Oryzias latipes: one gene and its partners. The protein of the gene in region 1 purifies or fractionates together with the protein of each later gene. This does not show direct contact. Links are inferred from orthologs where the notes say so. Each region holds a gene or a part of one and is shown in the gene's direction. Other genes may lie near its edges. The genes, in order: smc1a, sf3b3, cdca5, usp13 and pds5b.

Evidence for each region.
Region 2: the proteins of smc1a (region 1) and sf3b3 fractionate together in Homo sapiens (co-fractionation; 3 studies listed by BioGRID, with this or other methods). This does not show direct contact. The link is inferred for Oryzias latipes from reciprocal best matches to the Homo sapiens genes SMC1A and SF3B3.
Region 3: the proteins of smc1a (region 1) and cdca5 purify together in Homo sapiens (affinity purification with mass spectrometry; 7 studies listed by BioGRID and IntAct, counting the BioPlex papers as one, with this or other methods). This does not show direct contact. The link is inferred for Oryzias latipes from reciprocal best matches to the Homo sapiens genes SMC1A and CDCA5.
Region 4: the proteins of smc1a (region 1) and usp13 purify together in Homo sapiens (affinity purification with mass spectrometry; 5 studies listed by BioGRID and IntAct, with this or other methods). This does not show direct contact. The link is inferred for Oryzias latipes from reciprocal best matches to the Homo sapiens genes SMC1A and USP13.
Region 5: the proteins of smc1a (region 1) and pds5b purify together in Homo sapiens (affinity purification with western blotting; 8 studies listed by BioGRID and IntAct, with this or other methods). This does not show direct contact. The link is inferred for Oryzias latipes from reciprocal best matches to the Homo sapiens genes SMC1A and PDS5B.

The regions. Positions count from the first base shown.
Region 1 is NC_019865.2:11,923,192-11,927,598, forward strand, and holds the start of smc1a (structural maintenance of chromosomes protein 1A), read left to right. Parts: upstream 1-1,581; 5' UTR 1,582-1,827; coding exon 1,828-1,936; intron 1,937-2,469; coding exon 2,470-2,658; intron 2,659-3,109; coding exon 3,110-3,222; intron 3,223-3,427; coding exon 3,428-3,631; intron 3,632-4,081; coding exon 4,082-4,320; intron 4,321-4,403; coding exon 4,404-4,407. Other genes in the region: ribc1 (RIB43A-like with coiled-coils protein 1), read right to left, coding at 1-49, 167-381, 701-899. UniProt on the Homo sapiens protein: Involved in chromosome cohesion during cell cycle and in DNA repair. Central component of cohesin complex. The cohesin complex is required for the cohesion of sister chromatids after DNA replication.
Region 2 is NC_019864.2:25,117,704-25,121,353, forward strand, and holds part of sf3b3 (splicing factor 3B subunit 3), read left to right. Parts: intron 1-709; coding exon 710-866; intron 867-2,761; coding exon 2,762-2,887; intron 2,888-3,650. UniProt on the Homo sapiens protein: Component of the 17S U2 SnRNP complex of the spliceosome, a large ribonucleoprotein complex that removes introns from transcribed pre-mRNAs.
Region 3 is NC_019869.2:20,009,451-20,013,016, forward strand, and holds cdca5 (sororin), read left to right. Parts: upstream 1-1,427; 5' UTR 1,428-1,546; coding exon 1,547-2,335; 3' UTR 2,336-3,007; downstream 3,008-3,566. Other genes in the region: psmb2 (proteasome subunit beta type-2), read right to left, coding at 550-620, 707-829, 1,212-1,302. UniProt on the Homo sapiens protein: Regulator of sister chromatid cohesion in mitosis stabilizing cohesin complex association with chromatin. May antagonize the action of WAPL which stimulates cohesin dissociation from chromatin.
Region 4 is NC_019862.2:9,008,484-9,012,133, reverse strand, and holds part of usp13 (ubiquitin carboxyl-terminal hydrolase 13), read left to right. Parts: intron 1-745; coding exon 746-871; intron 872-1,169; coding exon 1,170-1,323; intron 1,324-1,679; coding exon 1,680-1,854; intron 1,855-1,942; coding exon 1,943-2,031; intron 2,032-3,650. UniProt on the Homo sapiens protein: Deubiquitinase that mediates deubiquitination of target proteins such as BECN1, MITF, SKP2 and USP10 and is involved in various processes such as autophagy, endoplasmic reticulum-associated degradation (ERAD), cell cycle progression or DNA damage response.
Region 5 is NC_019872.2:9,942,188-9,945,837, forward strand, and holds part of pds5b (sister chromatid cohesion protein PDS5 homolog B), read left to right. Parts: intron 1-57; coding exon 58-262; intron 263-358; coding exon 359-473; intron 474-1,657; coding exon 1,658-1,790; intron 1,791-1,880; coding exon 1,881-2,000; intron 2,001-2,211; coding exon 2,212-2,274; intron 2,275-2,363; coding exon 2,364-2,509; intron 2,510-3,493; coding exon 3,494-3,563; intron 3,564-3,650. UniProt on the Homo sapiens protein: Regulator of sister chromatid cohesion in mitosis which may stabilize cohesin complex association with chromatin. May couple sister chromatid cohesion during mitosis to DNA replication.

The DNA.
Region 1 (4,407 bases):
TCATTCGTATTTGTTCTCTCCTCATTTGTTTCCAATTAGCATCTTCCCCCTGTGTGTTGAACACAATGATTTACGAGGAACATTGTGACCTACTTAAACATTCACATCCCTTTACTGTCTCTGGTTTCTAAGCAAACAACCATTCCACCTCACTCAGTAAACCTACCTGGAATCTCTGCATACTGGCAGGTCCCAGTTTGGCCTCCGGAGTGGTGATGTCAAACGCCCCCTTCAGGCCATTCTGTAAACCAGCATTTTGTGTGTCTAATCGCTGCTGAGTGGCCCAGTAATGAGTAAGGTCCTTTTGCAAAGCTCGTCGTTTTTCTTTTTCATTGTTGTCTTGTTGTAGTAGTGCTTCATCCTGACTTTTTTTCAGTGTTTCTACAATGCAAAAAAAAAAAAAAAAAAAAAAAAAAAAACATTTGTAGAAAGGAAAAGAGATCATTCTGCTGACATCCGCTATTTTAGAGACAGAAGCTGTCTTCCCATCATTTGAAATACAAGCAAGTAAATCACATGGTCATAGCAGGTCCATCCTATTGCATATTCATTGATTTTTAGACGAATTGTAACAAAGTACATTAATTGCATTTGTTTATCAAGAGTTGAAATTAGATGGTATTACGACATAGAACAAAAAGATTATTGCTTTACTAGATAAAGTTCCTAATTTCTTAATAGTGTAATCACGTTTCTTTACCGAGAGCATTGCTCTGTAGTTTTTCCAAGTTTTCTTGTTGCAGTTTCTCTTTAACTTGTTGGTTCAGAGCATCTAAGTCAAGGCCCATCACACGTAGTCGAGTGTTGAAGATGCGAGCTTTGCGGGCTGCCTCAGCAGATCTTCGGCCTTCCACAGCTTTTGTCAGAGACTGGTCTTGTCGGGCGTCACCTTTGAACATGTTTGGTTTCTAAACTGTCTCAAATCCTGGTGAGAAGGAATTACATATATTGGTTTATGAAAGAAAAAACAGAATGGTGCTTTCCACTATTTAATTAAATGATGAAAGGTCATGCTGTTTATAATTCCGAGAGAGTAGTTTGTTAGATATACATAAAATGATGAAAGAAAACTATCTAAATACTAACAGTAGTTGTTTTCAGAGTAAGGTTGCTCTTGGGAAAAGAAAAAATACAAAACAATACCTCATAAACTATTTGAAAATATTAACAGTAGTAATTTTCAGTGTTATATTGCTCTGGGAAAAACGAAAAAAAACTAAAAACAAGACAATACTCACCTCATAAATAGGCCGCGCAACAACAGCTAATCTCAGTGTTCAAATCCAACAAGCAGTGTTTGGAGGGGGAGCATTGGTAACCAAGGAAACGTCTTGTAGTTTTTTTTCTCCAAGAGAAATGGACAAAAAATAATTACTGCTGATGTTAAAAATCGTGAAAACGAAAAATATTTAAAATCATTTCTTAACCAAAATTTATGTATTTAATTGTGAAAAAAAATGTTAAAATTTACAAGGTACAAGGCGTATATGTATATGACTACAAATCCCAGTTATGTCGATGCGTCGCGAGAACGCACGAGATTAGGCATTTCGCGCGATTTAGTATCTTCCTGCGAGATTGTAAAATGGCGCTTTGTTTTCACTAATGCACCGAGTTTATTTGATAAAGATTTTATCTATATGATTTTGTTTACGTAAACGTACTTCTCATAATGTAAATTTCTACTGCTAGCCATCGACCTAAAGCAACTACTTTTTCATTTGCGAACGCATGAGTCTGTAGCATTAGCTTACTAGCATTTTTTCTTCGCTAAGCTAACATTGACCGTGCAGCTGTTTTCCCAGTCTGCTGCACAAATAAAGAAAAATGGGTTATTTAAAACTCATTGAGATCGAAAATTTTAAATCATATAAAGGAAGGCAGATTATTGGACCGTTTCATAAATTTACTGCCATAATCGGACCCAATGGATCGGGTAAGTTATGCCCAACAGTTCAAGTCGCTGCTGCTAACGGAGAAAAAATATATATTGCTGTTATTATGACGGTGATCTAACCCTAAATTTTATTTTGTGTTACCAAGCAGCTTTTGCGAAGAGAGTGCATGTTCAGACCATTCCTACACTTTCATTTGCACTTATTGGTCCTATCTTAAAGCCCACAAGATTTGGGTTATTATAAAATAATTACCAATTTCCCACAACTGATTCTGTAGAGTTTTCTTATTTGCAATATTTTGATTTTTTTGAATTGATATTTTTTAACCACGAGAGTAAATGAATTACTAAATTACAACATACATTACAAATTAATGTCATACCATCAAAAATACTGTTGCGTATCTGTTTCTCTTTATATTTTACTCAAAGTACACGTCTTTTGATACCCTAGTTTATGTGAAAACACAAGAGAAAATTGATTATCTGTATTTCTAAAAGTTGTGTATTTCTGTAAAACTACATTTTATTACAACTTCTCTAACTAGATTGTCTGTATGCTTTTCCCAAAGGAAAATCCAACCTTATGGATGCCATCAGCTTTGTGTTGGCAGAAAAAACCAGTAATCTGCGTGTGAAGACTCTGAAGGATCTAATCCATGGAGCGCCTGTAGGAAAACCAGCTGCAAACAGAGCCTTTGTCAGCATGGTTTACCAAGAAGATAATGGCGAGGAACGCACCTTCACGAGAGTTATCATAGGTAAAAAAAAAAAAAAGAAGAAGAAAAGAATAGTATTATTAACACATTAATTCTTTCAAATGCTCACCTATTCACATTTGTGTGGGGATTTTAATAAGCAAAACATTATCTTTGCAAGTAAATCACAAATAATAAGTTCAATACTGTTTTGCTGTTGTGTAATATCAGCCCTTTTGTCTTTGTCTGTCTGCTTTTAGCTGAGCATAACTGGGATATTAGAATTTTTGCAAAAATACATTTACTTGTCACTTGACACAGAAAAAGTTTTTATTTTTTATTTAACTTCGCATGTGTTCATCTACTGGTTTTTGACGGAAAAATCTGATTCTAAACAATCATATTGCCTTTCTTTGAAATATTTTATTATGATTCAACAAGGAATAAAAAAAAAAAGATTTATTTGAATTTAGAATTTCTTTTTTACGTGACTACATTTGGGGTTTTGTTGCAGGTTCTTCTTCTGAGTATCGGATCAACAGCAAAGTTGTGGGTCTGCCAGATTATAGCGAAGAGCTGGAAAAACTTGGCATTTTGATCAAGGCCCGGAACTTCCTGGTTTTCCAGGTGAGACCAAATGCATAGCATGCCCTTTCTATGACTGTTGACTGATGAGACAGTGTTTGTACTGACGGTTGTCTGCTCCATTACGGTATTTTTTTTTTAAACACATCCACTGATGTGAATCCTGTGAATTTTATTTTTCTTCTCTTAAAACAATTTTGGATTAAATTGGTTTGGCATTTAATTTATTTCTTCTTTTTACTAAAAGGGAGCGGTAGAGTCTATTGCCATGAAGAACCCCAAAGAGCGCACAGCCCTGTTTGAGGAAATCTCCCGCTCAGGAGAGCTGGCCCAGGAGTATGATCGAAGGAAGAAAGAAATGGTGAAGGCAGAAGAAGACACACAGTTCAATTATCATCGGAAAAAAAACATCGCCGCAGAACGCAAAGAAGCCAAGCAAGAGAAGGAGGAGGTATGTCTCTGTGACGATAAAATAATGTGTACACATTTTTCTTGAAAACCTTTTTTTTAAAGGAATTGAAAAGCATTTTTATTTTGTTTGCCCGGAAAACTGTGTAAGATTATAACACATGTCATGCCTTTGGTTTGTACCTGTTATTACTGTTCTATGGAGAAAGTTGAACTCCAATCTGGAACTTTAATTTGTGAAATACTCACTAAAACAAAAAAGCTAAATTGCTTTTATGGCAGCATAGTTTGTTAATTATAAGATATGGTGTAAACCAAATAAATCCAAACAGCGTATATTATTTCATGTAATCATTTTTAATATGTGGATTCTATTTACAGAAGACATTTTAAACTAAAGTGACCTATAAAAGATGGACGCAGTGATGATGGACAAAACTCATGAAAGTTTTGTTGTGATCATGTAGTTTGTGTCTTTTGATCTCTCTTTAAGGCTGAGCGTTACCAGCGTCTTAAGGATGAAGTTGCCAGGGCCAGTGTTCAGCTCCAGCTCTTCAAGCTCTACCACAATGAAACTGAGATTGAAAAGCTCAACAAAGAGTTGGGCCAGCGGAACAAGGAGATTGACAAGGACCGGAAGAAGATGGACCATGTGGAGGAAGAGTTGAAAGACAAGAAAAAGGAGCTGGGCAGAATGATGAGGGAGCAGCAGACCATCGAGAAAGAAATCAAGTCAGTTAGCTCCTGGTGTTTCTACATCAATTATCTGGGGTTAAATTCTTAATGAAATGCTAATCATATCATTTCGCTCGCAGAGAG
Region 2 (3,650 bases), on another chromosome or scaffold:
AAAACTTTGCTGCTTTGTATTTCAGCAGTTTATGGGGTTGTTTCAACAAACATTAGACATGTAAAAATGGCTTTTCTTAACCTTTTGTGGAATCATGATGCAGTCAGCTCCTCTTTACTCCTTTTGTCTTTTTCTTCTCTGCGTTTCTGAAAGACATGGGCTGTGTCAGAATTCCCGCCCTAATCCCCACCCCAACTACTAAAAACGATGTAGTGCGAGACTATGTAGTGCAATTCAGACACCATTCTCACTACTTTACTATATTTGCCGATTTAGTGAGCATCGATGTACACAGGTTTTTTGCAGAGACTTCTGGAAAATTTCTAGATTTCTAGATTTTGGAATTATAGATTCAGACAGCAATACAAAATGAACGCACTATATAGTGCACTATGTAGTGAGTAGTGAACGAATTCAGACACAACCATAGACTCAGATGTTTAGTTTCCTTATATTTAAAATATATTTATTTAAAATACAAGCAGCATTTTTACTGCAAAACAAAAATTGATTAAAAAACTAAAAAAATTCACTTTTTTACATATGTAAAAAAAAAAAGCCTCCTTGGTGCACATTTTTTTGTTCCTACGGATGTGGTCACATGACCAACGGCTTGTATTTATTTCCTTTATATTATCAACAATAAATATAAATGTTGATTCTCTGTGACAGCTCTACATGCTCTCATGTATCTTTCCCTTTGTTTCAGTGTGGCAGTGTGCCGCTTCTTAAACACAGGAGACGACTGGTATGTTCTAGTGGGAGTTGCCAGAGACATGATACTCAACCCCAGGTCCGTGTCTGGAGGTTTCATCTACACCTACCGACTCACAGGTGGAGGAGAGAAGCTGGAGTTTGTGCACAAGGTGAGGTTGAGTTTCTCTGCTCTGCTGAGTTGAAAGTTTCCCCGTGTGTTGAGACCACAGCTGAGCATCCCATGTTCACCGCTCTGTTGGCGTCACACTTTTAAAACTCGACAGCTTTGTAACAACACCATGGCAGGATGTTTCTGCCCCAGTTTCTGGGGCGATTCCCAAGAAACAGGAGCAGGGTGGAGACGAGCCAAGTGAATCAGCTTTCAGCTGTTTGTTACCTGATGTAGAAGAAGAGGCAGTCTGTTTCCCAGCGGTCTCGGACACTCCACACTGACTCAGAGGGATTTCCCCACCACTTAACCACACGTGATGTTTTTAGGTGATTCTGTCTGGGCACAACACTAACGTCTTAAGCACGCGCTCACATTCAGCTTCAGACACTTTTAATATGAAACAAAAGTCTTCCTCATCCGCTCGTTTTGTATTTTGGGATATCTAAAAAAATGTTGACATAATTTGTCTCAAATATTTGTTTTTTTAAGTATCTTAGACTTTTATGGACAGTATGCTTTTATGACATGTTGTGCAGCAGTTTTAGTCAAGTCTGAGTGATGTTTGTGATGCATGAACCGCAACGGCAGCTAAAGAAAAACTGTCATCGTGGGTAAACTCTTCATCCTGTCTGCCTTGTCTACATACAGTCCTTTCCTGATTAACTTTGGGATTAGCTTTACATGATTAACACGACCCACAAAGACAACCAAACATCTATCTGTAAAGCTGCTCCTTTCTCTATGTTCATTGTATTTATAAAAAAGCCTAGATCCATTTATTTTGTGTGTTGAATTTGTTTTATTTATTTTTTTAGTTTGTTGCTCTGAAGAGAAATTTGAGATATTTCCAAGTTTGTTTCTTTTTTTTAAGATGAGCTATTTGTAATCAATAACTGTAACTGGCACGGTCACTCATGGAGTTGTTTAGAATTGATCACATAAATCAAAACTGCAGGAATGTCCATAATCACAAATCAAACCCAGCAGATGAGTAAATCAGCGTTCTTTCAATGAATTTGTGTAACCCTCAAAAGAAAAGGAGGTAGTTTTTATAGAAAGTAAAATGTATCTCATAAATGAAGCACTTTCCTTTTTTAGCTTCTGTCTTGAACACAAATGCCAAAATTCTAATTCTTTTTGAAAAGCGACAAAATTCAAGCTTTTTCCTGCAAATTTTAGTTGAACACAGGACGATGATTCGCATCATAATGTGTTTGATAAGGACACACATTTTCTGCCTCTTTTGAAATTTTCAAACATGCCAGATCAAACTTTACAACCATGTTGTGATGGTCTGAAACAGGCCTTCTCAATAAATCACAAATTCATCGTTATCGCAATATCAAGCTGTGCAATGCGCATTTTACTAAAGACGACAGAAATTGCAATAAACGGTAACCTTAAATTTGCTAAAACAATCTTATGGCAGCTTGAAGTATTTAACGAATCAAATAAATCCCTTCATGCATTTGACCAATCAGATGCCTTCACGTTGTTGACCAATCAGGTGGAGCTCTTTGATGTAAGATATAATTAAAGTTATGTTGACTTTTATTTAAATTAAACTTGCTGTGAAATGAAAATGATTTTCAATTTGTTCATGTATCTCAAGTTATGTCATTGCAATACTGAACACTAGTGTCTCAAATCCAGAGTTTTCCTTAAATCGTGAAGCCCTAGTCTGAAATCTAAATTGTGTATCGTTTGCTGATTTGTGTCTCGCCATGGGTCAGTTGTGTTAACAGCTGCTGCTTCACAAAAAATTACTCAATTTTCAACCGTCTAGTTATATAAAACTAGACAGTTTCCTGGGTTGTCTTCACCCTGAATGCCATTTTCTGTTTGTTGTACCACAGCTGAAGAACTGTATCTTCTCTGCATTGTTCATAACAGACTCCAGTAGAGGACGTTCCTCTGGCCATCGCTCCGTTCCAAGGACGGGTTCTAATCGGAGTTGGAAAACTTCTTAGAATTTATGACCTGGGGAAGAAGAAACTTCTTCGTAAATGTGAGAACAAGGTAAGAGCAGGTCTTGAGTCATTTGATTGAAGAGTTTATCACTGAGACCCCTTTGTAGACCCACTCCAGTCATCTTTATATTTTCAAAGCATTCCCAGTGCTCTTTTAATTATGATGATGTCGTTTTAAGGCAAAAATACCTGTTTTTTTCTGGGACATAGTTTCTGCAGAACAGCAGGAGTTCATTAGAAACTAGCAACTGAGTTGTGGGCAAGGGTTATTGGCGCGGAGCAACCCCGCCCCCTTTCCCCTCCCTGCTGCTGAGAGCATGAAGCAGGGAGCTTGTTGCCTGCCTTGTATATTTTTTACAACATAAATCAGCTCTTTTTCAAACTGCATTTTCTTTTAACTGTTCCTGATTCACAACAATTTGAATAACAAAACACTCAAATAAAAAACTAAGCTTGTCTTTCTTTAAATATGTCCATCTGAGCATAAATACTCAGAGCAGCACAGGTTGATTTAGGTTTGATTTGGAATGATTTCAGGCTTTGTTAGCAGCTGCAGTTTTACGGTTTCTATTTAAAGGTATCAGATCTGTGTGATTGTCTTATAGTATTGGTTTAGTTCTATTTTTAATGGTACTGACGGTAATACCGTTGTTTCTTAACAAAAGGGTATGTCTTCCCATTTTCTAAAAGGAGCGTCTCGGCTGGCTTCATTGTCATCAATGCTTTTGTAAAACTTGTCACTTCGAGTCACTTCACTTTCCTTTTACATCTGTGGAACAAACTGTGGGATGTCACTCTTAAGTTTCTCTTAT
Region 3 (3,566 bases), on another chromosome or scaffold:
ACTTAGGCAGGATTACACAAATTATGTTTTAGATTAGATGTGAATAGATGAATTCCTCACAAGCTGCAACAGAAGACACAAACACTTGCAATCTTGACACACTTTTAACCACCACCAATCAATGTAGTTTTCCTATTTTATATATATATATATATATATATATATATATATATATATATATATATATATATATAGTAGCTATATGTGTTTTTCTGACAAAATTGTATCCTGTTGTTCTGTTAGATCTCATAATAAAACCCCTACATGTTTCTTTTTGTTAATTTTTACAATCATTTTTGGAATTACATGCTTTCAAATTGATTTTTTTTTTTTTTTAATTTTAGTAAGAACACATCTTTTTGTGAGTGTTAGAGATGCTATTGGGTAAGACATCCGTCCATGGGGCCCTAATACGTTTCCCTAACAAAGTTAATTCAAGCAACACCCCTGAAAACGAGTACAAAATTCAAAATGTTTCTCTAGTGTTCAGTTTCAGGAAATGTTTATCTTTAAATGCTAAAAGTGTATTTTGCTCTCATGCATGGTTACCCTGCTCCGTAGGTAGTCTGCCAAGTTCTTCCGTGTGAAGTTTGCTGCTGCAGATGGACTCAGTTCGTAACCTTTAGGGGAGAAAAAGTTTCATCAATGACTTGTTCTGATCCCCTGATGAACCACAGACAGCTGCTCTGTGTAGTTTCCATCCTACCGTTCCTCATTTTGTAGAGCTGGACATTCTTCTGGATGTACTCAGCAAACTGCACCGTGTCTCCTGCTTCTCCCACGCACAACAGCAGGATCTTCTCGCTCAGTTTGAACATTTTATCATAATCTGGTGGATCAAAAAAAAAAACACCTTAGAACTTTCACTTTCACAGTTAGCCTGCATGAGGCTGCATAATCTGCTAATTTTAGAACAAAACCAATTATACAGAAAAACACCAAAAACTCAAATCGGGAGCAAAACTGCACCGATTTTTAAGCAAATATCCGCAAAAATAATTTAAATCGAACGCAGATTAGTTTCATTGGTTCGATTATTTGATATAGTGTGGCCAAGTATAAGAAACCAACAACAAATTAACTGTAAATTCGGAAATAAAAGCTTGATTTAACCAGATAAAATCTCAAAACGCTTTGAACTTTACCCCCCTAAATCTAAAATAAAAATCGGCGGAGCGGCTAATGCTACAGCTAACGACGAGCTACTTTACCGTGTTTCATTTGGATTATGCTGCTGGCGGCCACATTATCGGCGGCGACGAGAACAAAATCTGGTCCCTGGATTCCGATTAAATATTCCATCGTGAAAAACGCGAATAAACAAAAAAATGTAAGAATAATTCGAGGAAGCAGCCGCGGACAGCCGGGTCTGCTCAGAATATTACACAGCAAAAGTTCAGCTAGCTGCCTGTCGCATACTGGTGACGTCAAACCGCGCGACTTGGGCGGGCGATTTGAAACGCGGGAGTGTTTTTGTTGTGTGTCACCGAGCGGAGGGCGTCCGTCATCGGGGGAATTTTGAGGTTACAGCCAAGCTGTGTTGACCATGAAGGAAGGGGAGACTCACAGCGTGATGGTGGAGTCCAACCGACACATAGACCCGCCGCGGAGGCGTTCGCCGCGGCTAAGTTCTACCCTGCAACCGCCGGGGAAGATTGACACAAACATGGCCGCGCTGGAGGCCGTCCCGGTGAAACGGTCCATCACTCTAAGGAAAATAGCTCCGAGAAAAACCGTTACCTCCGCGGAGCAGGACAAGGAGAACACACCACGGCGAACGAGCAACAGACTAGGGCAGAAAAAAGAGGTGTCCACTCCTGACTTGGTCCCAGACCGCAGGGCCTCCGCCATCTCTTCGGCTAAGAAGAAGAAACAGGCCTCGATGCCGTCCCCGATCTTGCCTTCCTCCCCGCCGACCTCAAACCCCGCAGAAAAGCCGCCAGCGACCCCGGAGGACGCAGAATGGGCGCGAAAGGTGCGCCGCTCCTACAGCAGACTGAGCGACAAGTCCCTCCACAGCCCGGACTCTCGCGATACTTTGTTCGGCTTCCAGCATCTGCAGACACCGGAGGTGAACCGGGCGGCAGGGCAGTCCAGGAGCGCTCTGGAGCTTTCCTCCATTTCTGCCCTGAACTCTTTCACGTCTCTGCTCGATACCGACGCCGGCGGTGCGGCCGAACCGGACCCGAACATCCCTGGAGTGGCTGTGGTGAAGGAGAGGAAGAGGAGGCGGAAGAAGGTGGCGCCGATCGACGGCGTGGAGCTGGACGTTCTGGTCGCCCAGATGAACGCGGAGTTCCAGGAGGCGGAGGAGTTTGAGCTGGTGGTGGAGTAGAAACTGGCTCTACTCAAGCCCAGGGGAAGCTTCTCAAGGACTGTGATAAAAATAATTCAAGAAAATGTTAAAAATGTCCAGATATTTTTATTCCTTCACTTGGTGTGAAATAGTTTTTAAATACATTTTCAGTATCACATTTGCTAGTCGTTTGTAACTTCAGTTTTTTTGGTTTATTTAAACCGGACTTTATCCTTTGGCAGAATTTAAGTGCTAAAACCGTTTACTGAGGAGCATTTCCCCAAGAATTACGTTTGGAGCTAAAAGGCTTTTATTCTGAAATGAAGCTTGAAAGCTTTTATGCAAAAGTCTGGAGATAAAAAGCTTTGAGTCGTAAAATTGGTGCTGAACAGCTCTTACTTTGAAGTTTGAAGATAAAAAGCTTTTATTCTGACGATTGGACTTTAGAAACATTTATCCTAAAGGTTTTGACTGGAGACGCTTTTATTCTGCAGTTTGGATTCTCTTTTTTTTTTAACTTTCCCAAATGTTTTTAGAGAAAAATAAAGTACATGGCATCTGTAACCAGCACTTTTTCCTCTTTAATTTTGTTTTTTCTTTCTAGTTTAAGAGAAATCCATTTAAGGTTGTTTATATCTTATATGTGTCTTTTAAATACATTTCTTCTGTTCTGTGTATTTGAATAAAAGCAAACATCTTTTTTTAAACATACACTTTATTTTGTTTACCCTTATTTGTACAGTTAAAGAGTTTTAAATTATATTAAACAACAATTTTTTAGAACTTTGCAGTGAAATATCAACTAGCTGCAGAAGGAGATGACACAGGAAATATGAACAAATAAACTATAACATAGCTAAAGAATTCAACTGAAAAGCCTTGAATGGCCTTTCATCAGATCCTGTCTCAAACTGTTTTTGTGAAGCTCTGAAATTGATCAGTACTGTAAATATCCTACTCTATGTTTAATTTAACCTTATGGCAATCAGAGCGAGCATGAAAACCCGTTTTCTAACTGTACATATGACAAAAAAAAAACTTTGAATCCTTTCAATTAAAAAAACTGAGGGTGAAAGGTCAAAAGCAACTGTAACCCTATAACCAATCAAAATCGTTTTTTTGCATAATATCCAACTAAATTATACAGTTTTGCTTATAGCAGCAAAAGTCTAGAATCAGGACTTTTATTTCAAGCGAAAAAATAAAACCAAATGCATCAAATGAATTTAGATGTACAGTCACAAAATGATCAGATGATAAAGAAATATGT
Region 4 (3,650 bases), on another chromosome or scaffold:
ACAAACAGTTTTTTTATTTGTCTATAAACAAACAGCTGGTAGATTTCAGTTATTATGTAAAGATGTTCTGCACAAAACAGGGATCAGTGCAGTGGGAAATGCAAAGTTTTTCTAAAAAAGGGTTTCAAAAAACTACATTTAAGATCTTAAAGTCTTTTAAGATCTTTTAGAGGCCAGTAAGCTCAGCTGGTTTACAGCGTGGTGCTTAAGAACGCCAAAGTTCTGGGTTCAATCCCCATAATGGCCAAAAACAAGCTCTTGGGCCTGCCACGGTCTGGGGGCCTGCATAGGATCTCCCCAGCCTTCGCCCACAAGTGGCCGGGATAGGCTCCAGCAGCATTGTGACCCCGAAAAGGAACTATTGCTTTAAAAGATTTATGAATGAATGAAGAGTCTTTTAAAATGTATAAAAGTGCAAATAAATATATATTTTTTATTTTTATTTATTTTTTAACCATGACTTCTATTGGGGTCAACCAAAATGAGAAAAGTATTATTTTTATAAATATATTTTTTAGTAAATACAAATCGAGTAACTTAGTTTAATAAAAATAGATATTTTTTTTCTATTTACAGCCTCTGTGTTTACACAAGACACACTGTGTAATTAGAGCCAGAAATATGTTAATAATTTTTATTTGGATTAGGTTTTTTTTTTAGAAACTCGAAGAACAGTTTGTGTTCACAGTGTCTAGCGTTGACTGGTGGTTTTCTTGTGAGGCTGATGTCTAAATTCTGATTCCAGCAGCAGCAGAGGGGCATCTCTCCTCGAATGTTCAAAGCTCTGGTGAGCAAAGGACACCCGGAGTTTTCCTCCAACCGGCAACAAGACGCCCACGAGTTCCTCCTGCACATCATCAACCTGGTGGAGGTGAGGGAGGGAGAGGAGGGAGGGAGGCTCATGCATGGATCCACAGAAAGTCAACCTCATTTTGTTGTGTGAAATTTGATAAAAGAGCTTATCTGAAAAATGTATTCTATTTTGAAATAATGCAAAAAAAGTAACCCCAACCAGAATCACAAATAGAAAAACACGTGTAAAAAATTTATTAATTTTCTGTGTCCTCTATCATTACAAAATGCCACAAAACAGGGCTTTCATTGGACTGTAAGTATTTTACTCCTCACCATACTGGATGAAGAGCCTGCATTCTGTGTTGTTTCTGCAGAGGAATAGCACAGGCTTGGAGAATCCCAGCGACAGCTTCCGTTTCCTGGTGGAGGAGCGGATTCAGTGCTGTCAGACTCGCCGCGTTCGTTACAGCCAGCGAGTCGACTACTGCATCCAGCTGCCGGCTCCCATCGAGGCAGCGACCAATCGAGGTGAAGGAGGAAACATATCTCCACAGCAGTGCATCTGCTCTGATAACACGCCTGCTGTGGATAAAACAATTGCTATGAGAATGAATGGCACCTGCTGCAGTATTGGTAGAATCGCTCTGAATGCAAGTGTTGCAGATGGTTTAGTCATGTGTTGATAATTAATTGTGGTGTGAACCAGAGCTGTCAGCCTTGCTCATTATTTTCTTGGGTTGACAACAAATAAAGCTGAAGAAGCGAGCATAATCACTTTGCGCTGCTGTAGTATAAAGCCTCAGCTGATTTAAAAAAATAAATAATTATCAACATGCCAGTTTTTGAGGAGGTTTCAAATTTAACCGTTTCCTTTTTTAAACCAGAGGAGCTGCTGGCCTACGAGGCCAAGCGGAAAGAAGCTGAGGAGAACATGGGGACTCCTCCTGAACCAGTTCGGGCACGGATTCCTTTCACCGCCTGCTTACAGGCCTTCACAGAACCAGAAAATGTCCCGGACTTTTGGAGCTCAGCGCTGCAGGCCAAATCAGCTGGAGTCAAGTAAGCATATGCTTTTTTTTTTTCTTTTTCTTTTTAATAATCATGTCTTTGTTGAGGTAAAAACTCTTTTTTTTTTCTGTTTTTGTAGAACGTCCCGTTTTGCCTCTTTTCCGGAATATCTGATTGTGCAGATCAAGAAATTCACATTTGGAGTTGACTGGGTGCCGAAGAAGCTCGGTAACTAATGTTTTCATGCAAAGATGATTGGAGTGATGATGTCTGCATTTCACTATCCACCAATTCTCTTAAAGGGCCTATATCATGCTTTTCTTAAGCCTTACAGAGGAAACTAGATCCATATTTATGATCATATATTACCTTTGGCCCACGAAAGAAAGATTTTTTTTTCTGAAATATGAGTTATTTTTGCAGCTCATTTCTCCTACTTGGAAGTGAGATGACTCGATCTCTGAGGCACCGCCTTTCGCTCCTTGTGGGTGCTGCTAATTTCAGGGAGGCAACCTGGAGACGGCCTTTTCGCCCACGAAAAACAAACATTTGAACTTTTGCAGAGATGGATGTGCATAATGTGCACAGAAAATGATAGCGTTTAGCCGATCACCGCTAGCTCCACAGAGAAAGTGGTCGTGTGTGTTGGCACACTGGCACTGGCAGCACAGACTCTTTCTGGAAGGGGCTAGAGGAATGCTCAGAAATACATGAATGGATACAGCTTTGGCTTTGTGTTTTGTGAGTAAAGGCAATTATTAAACACTTAAAAGCTAATATATATATATATATATATATATATATATATATATATATATATATATATATATATATATATATATATATATATATATATATATATATATACATTTTGTGTGGTTCTTTGAAGGCTCTTTGAAGTGTGTGTAGTACTGAAAACACCCAGCAGAGGTCACTACTAGACTGTAGTTATATAAAAAAAAAAAAAAACTTGCCCCTTTCACCCTTTCGTGGGTGGTTTCTCACTCAAGCTCGGGTCCTCTACCAGAGGCCTGGGAACTTGAGGGTTCTGCGCAGTATCTTAGCTGTTCCTAGCACTGCGCTTTTCTGGATTGAGATGTCTGAGATCTTTCCAGGTATCTGTTGTAGCCACTCCTCCAGCTTGGGGGTTACTGCCCCGAGTGCTCCAATTACCACAGGCACCACTGTCACCTTCATTTTCCAGGCTTTCTCCAGTTCTTCTGTGAGTCCCTGGTATTTCTCCAGTTTCTCATGTTCCTTCTTCCTGATGTTCCCATCGCTTGGTACTGCCACATCCACCACAACGGCTTTCCTCTGTTCTTTATCCACCACTACAATGTCTGGTTGGTTCGCCATTACCATCCTATCAGTCTGGATCTGGAAGTCCCACAAGATTTTTGCCCTTTCATTCTCTACCACCTTCGGGGGTGTTTCCCATTTTGACCTTGGGGTTTCCAGTCCATATTCTGCACACATGTTCCTGTATATTATTCCAGCCACTTGATTGTGGCGCTCCATGTATGCTTTACCTGCCAGCATCTTACACCCTGCAGTTATGTGCTGGATTGTTTCAGGCGCCTCTTTGCACAGCCTACACCTTGGGTCTTGTCTGGTATGGTAGATCTGAGCCTCTATTGCTCTGGTTCTCAGGGCTTGTTCCTGAGCTGCCAGGATGAGTGCCTCAGTGCTGTCCTGTAGGCCAGCCCTCTCTAGCCATTGGTAGGACTTCTTGATATCAGCCACTTCAGTTATGGTCCGGTGGTACATCCCATGCAGGGGTTTGTCCTCCCATGAGGATCTGTCCTCCAGCACTGTATCCTCTGCTCTCCATTGCCTGAGACATTCAC
Region 5 (3,650 bases), on another chromosome or scaffold:
ATCTTCCTACAGATTTCCTCTTTTCACACTTTCTTTGTTTTTAATTGATCTTCCCAGGATGAGTGCTACCAGGTCCGACAGTGTTTTGCCCAGAAGCTTCACCGTGGTCTGTGTCGCCTCCGCCTGCCGCTGGAGTACATGGCCGTGTTCGCTTTGTGTGCCAAGGACCCCGTTAAGGAGAGAAGGGCTCACGCCCGCCAGTGCCTGGTGAAAAACGTCAACATACGGCGAGAGTACCTCAAGCAGCACGCCGCCATCAGCGGTGAGGAACTGCAGGAAACCCGGCGAAGCTTTCCCCGGAACAACACTGGACCTTTAAGAGTGAAATTTGTTTTCCTTTCTTTGTGTTTACCAACAGACAAGCTGCTGTCTCTGCTGCCGGAGTACGTGGTGCCGTACACCGTACACCTACTGGCACACGATCCAGACTACGTGAAAGTTCAGGACATCGAGCAGCTGAAGGAAATCAAAGAGTATGTTTCTATGGGTGGATTTTAGAAACAGAAATAAGTTTGATCATGTCACACGGCAATCAGTGCTGGATTCATCATATTATTGCCATTAATTACCATGCAATTAACTGCCAGAACTCCACTGATTCATAAATATGTTACTGAGACTGTTATAGACTGAATCACGTGTCAAACTAAAGGCCCGCGGGCCAAATGTGGCGAGAGACATAAACGTTTTTAATTTCTTAGAAGAAAAAAATAAAAATTGGTGTGTATTTATTCATATCTTCGGGGAATCAGACTTGAAATATCGGATTGGTCTACTATACGTTAGGACTTAAGGACTTATGATAGAGTAACAAGCAAACATGTGTTTTCTATGCAACTGCAATTGTCACTTTAAAAAGTTATAGTAAATAAATAATGAGTTATTTAACATTCAGGAGTAGTTACATTTATTTTCAATAACATTTAGTTACATGAATAATTTATTGCTGGCCCTTTGAGGACAGCCACTATGCTGATGTGGCCCTCAGTGAAAATGGGTTTGACACCCCTGGACTAAATGTAATCTATAAAAAGAGCTGAATGTTTCTTAAGAATTTGTGGAAGTCCTAGGCAAATATTACAACTTTAAAATAAATGTCATCGTATTAATTTTTATAATTTTCCTGTTTGGACATTCTATGTGAAATACTGAAATTGGCGGCAGACACGAGTTGACCCTTTAAACGCCAGAACTGTTGCCGGTGACACCTAAATATCACACGCTCTTTGACGAGCTGTAACTCTTCAAGCGTTTAGGCGATCAACGTAAATCAGCTTATTCTGATGAAGAGAAGAGCAGCTTTTCATATCGACTTTGCATCGATATGCAGAGCTACTTCTCTCCACAACAGTCAGCTGATGTGTTCATTGTTTAAGCGCTTCGCTTCTGTAATACGTTGAATATCAGCGCATTCAACACTTCATACCATTTCTCTGCTTGGGTGAAGACTAGAAAATCCGGTTTATTAAGCTGCTGTTTTTTTTTATTAGTTTCTATTATCATTTTTGGAATGTTTTTTTTTTTACAGGGATTGAATTTTTATGAATATTTGTTTTCCTTTTTGGTTTGTGTTTAGGAGGTTGAGCCAGAGCAAAGTATTTTTAGATTTCTCTGTCTCCGCTTTTTGCGCTGACTCGACTCTGGTGTGTCTCCTCAGAGCTTTATGGTTTGTGCTGGAGATCATCATGGCCAAGAACGAGAACAACAGCCACGCTTTCATCAGAAAAATGGTGGAAAATATGAAACAGACAAAAGACGCCCAGGCTGCCACTGATCCCAAAAGCAATGAGGTACGTGATATTTATGTGAATCCAACTTCACTGAATATGTATTGATCCCGTATATAATTCTTTGCTGATCAGATGTTTTCTTATTTCCAGAAACTGTACACGGTGTGTGACGTAGCCATGAACATCATCATGTCAAAAAGCACCACCTACAGCCTGGAGTCGCCTAAAGACCCGGTGCTGCCTTCACGCTTCTTCACCAAACCAGACAAGGTTAGGATCTACGACCCAAGAGTTTTGCAGCAAACTCTGCTCAGAAATGTAGTTTTATGGGTAGAGTAAGTTCAGAGGTTTTGAACTCATCTCTATTGTAGTTGATACGAGTGAACTGCTTTTTATGGATTCAGTTCATTTGTAAAAAAAAATAAGACAATATAACAACTTTTTTGGAAAGCTCCAACAACAAATTCTGTTTTCCCCCCAGAATTTCAGCAACACTAAAAACTACCTTCCCCCAGAGATGAAGGCGTTCTTCACACCAGGAAAAGTAAATGTCATAAACCCCTAAAAATGTCGGCGGTTTATCACCCGTGAAGCTAAAAACCTTTTCAAATTGCTGTCTGTTTGTCGCTTTAGCCCAAGTCTGCTAACGTTTTGGGGGCGGTAAACAAACCGCTGTCATCGGCGGGTAAACAGCTGCAGAGTAAAGGCTCCCGTATGGAGACCACCAGCAACAACGACTCCTCGTCCAATCCGGGCTCCCCACAGCGCACCAAGAGCAGGTATGATGGGAGAAACCCTCCGACTGTAAATGACAACTGGACTGACCGAGTGAGTGAGTCTGACACGACCCATAGAAAATGGTTTTTCGACGTTGTCACTAAAAAGTGATTGGTCAGAGTTTGAATCAACGTTTCTATGGCAACCACTCTTGCCAATCAGGAGTGAGCTGGTTTTAAGGGGGCGGTCAATCAATTGTTTTGAGCGTTTGACATGAGACCACATACTTTTATTGAGGCACCTGATTGGTCAGTTTATCTTAGGGATACTGAAAATGACAGACGACACGGAAGCATGGACCGCGTCATCCGTTCATTTCTGATAATGGAAACCTCAAGGAGCATTATCCCGCTTAAACCATGGTCATCTACGAAAAAAGTGTGTATTCAATCAGAATTTAATACTTTAAGATGGTTATTTTTTTAGGTTTAAATAGTTTTTTCACAAAAAGCTAACTATCTGATAGGTGGTTCGACTGCAGCGGCAAAGGAAAACGATGATCCTCATGATGCGTTAAAAGCATCAGGTCAGAGAGAAAGGTCACCGCTTACGGCTTGTTTTTGTCCAGAAGATGAATTAAAAGTTAATCCCTTCTTTTAGAATCTTATCTCTCTTTTCTACTGCTGCATCGCAGTTTTGCAGCCAAACAGAATGGAGTATTCACCTGGACCGTGGTATAGAATGACTGAGTAATAGCTGTTTATTTCTCATTAGAAATCTTTGGGATTTTGGTTTCTTGGAGGAGCCAGCTGGTACTTCCCCTTTTTTTGGGGGGGGGGGGCTTTCAGTCCAGTTCTCATATACAGCCTCATCTGACGGAGCCCAGAGCTTGTAGCAGCCAACACTAATCCAGACTTTGTTTGAATTTGTAGTAAACAACAGTTTGATAAAAAGTTTGTGACAAATCCTCTATTAGCCTTAAAAGAGTTGCTGCTTTTCTCCATTGCTGGATGTAGAATAACAGCTGATAAATGCTTTTGTTTCAGGCACGACAGCACAGAAATGGACCACAGTGAAAATGAAGACATCTGCCTGAAGAGAGCAGACAGTGATAAGGTATTTCACTTCACATGTATTTACCTCAGGAATCGCCAACAAATTATCCCTTTTTTCATTTGAAAGTAGAGTTTGTGGCTTTTAATG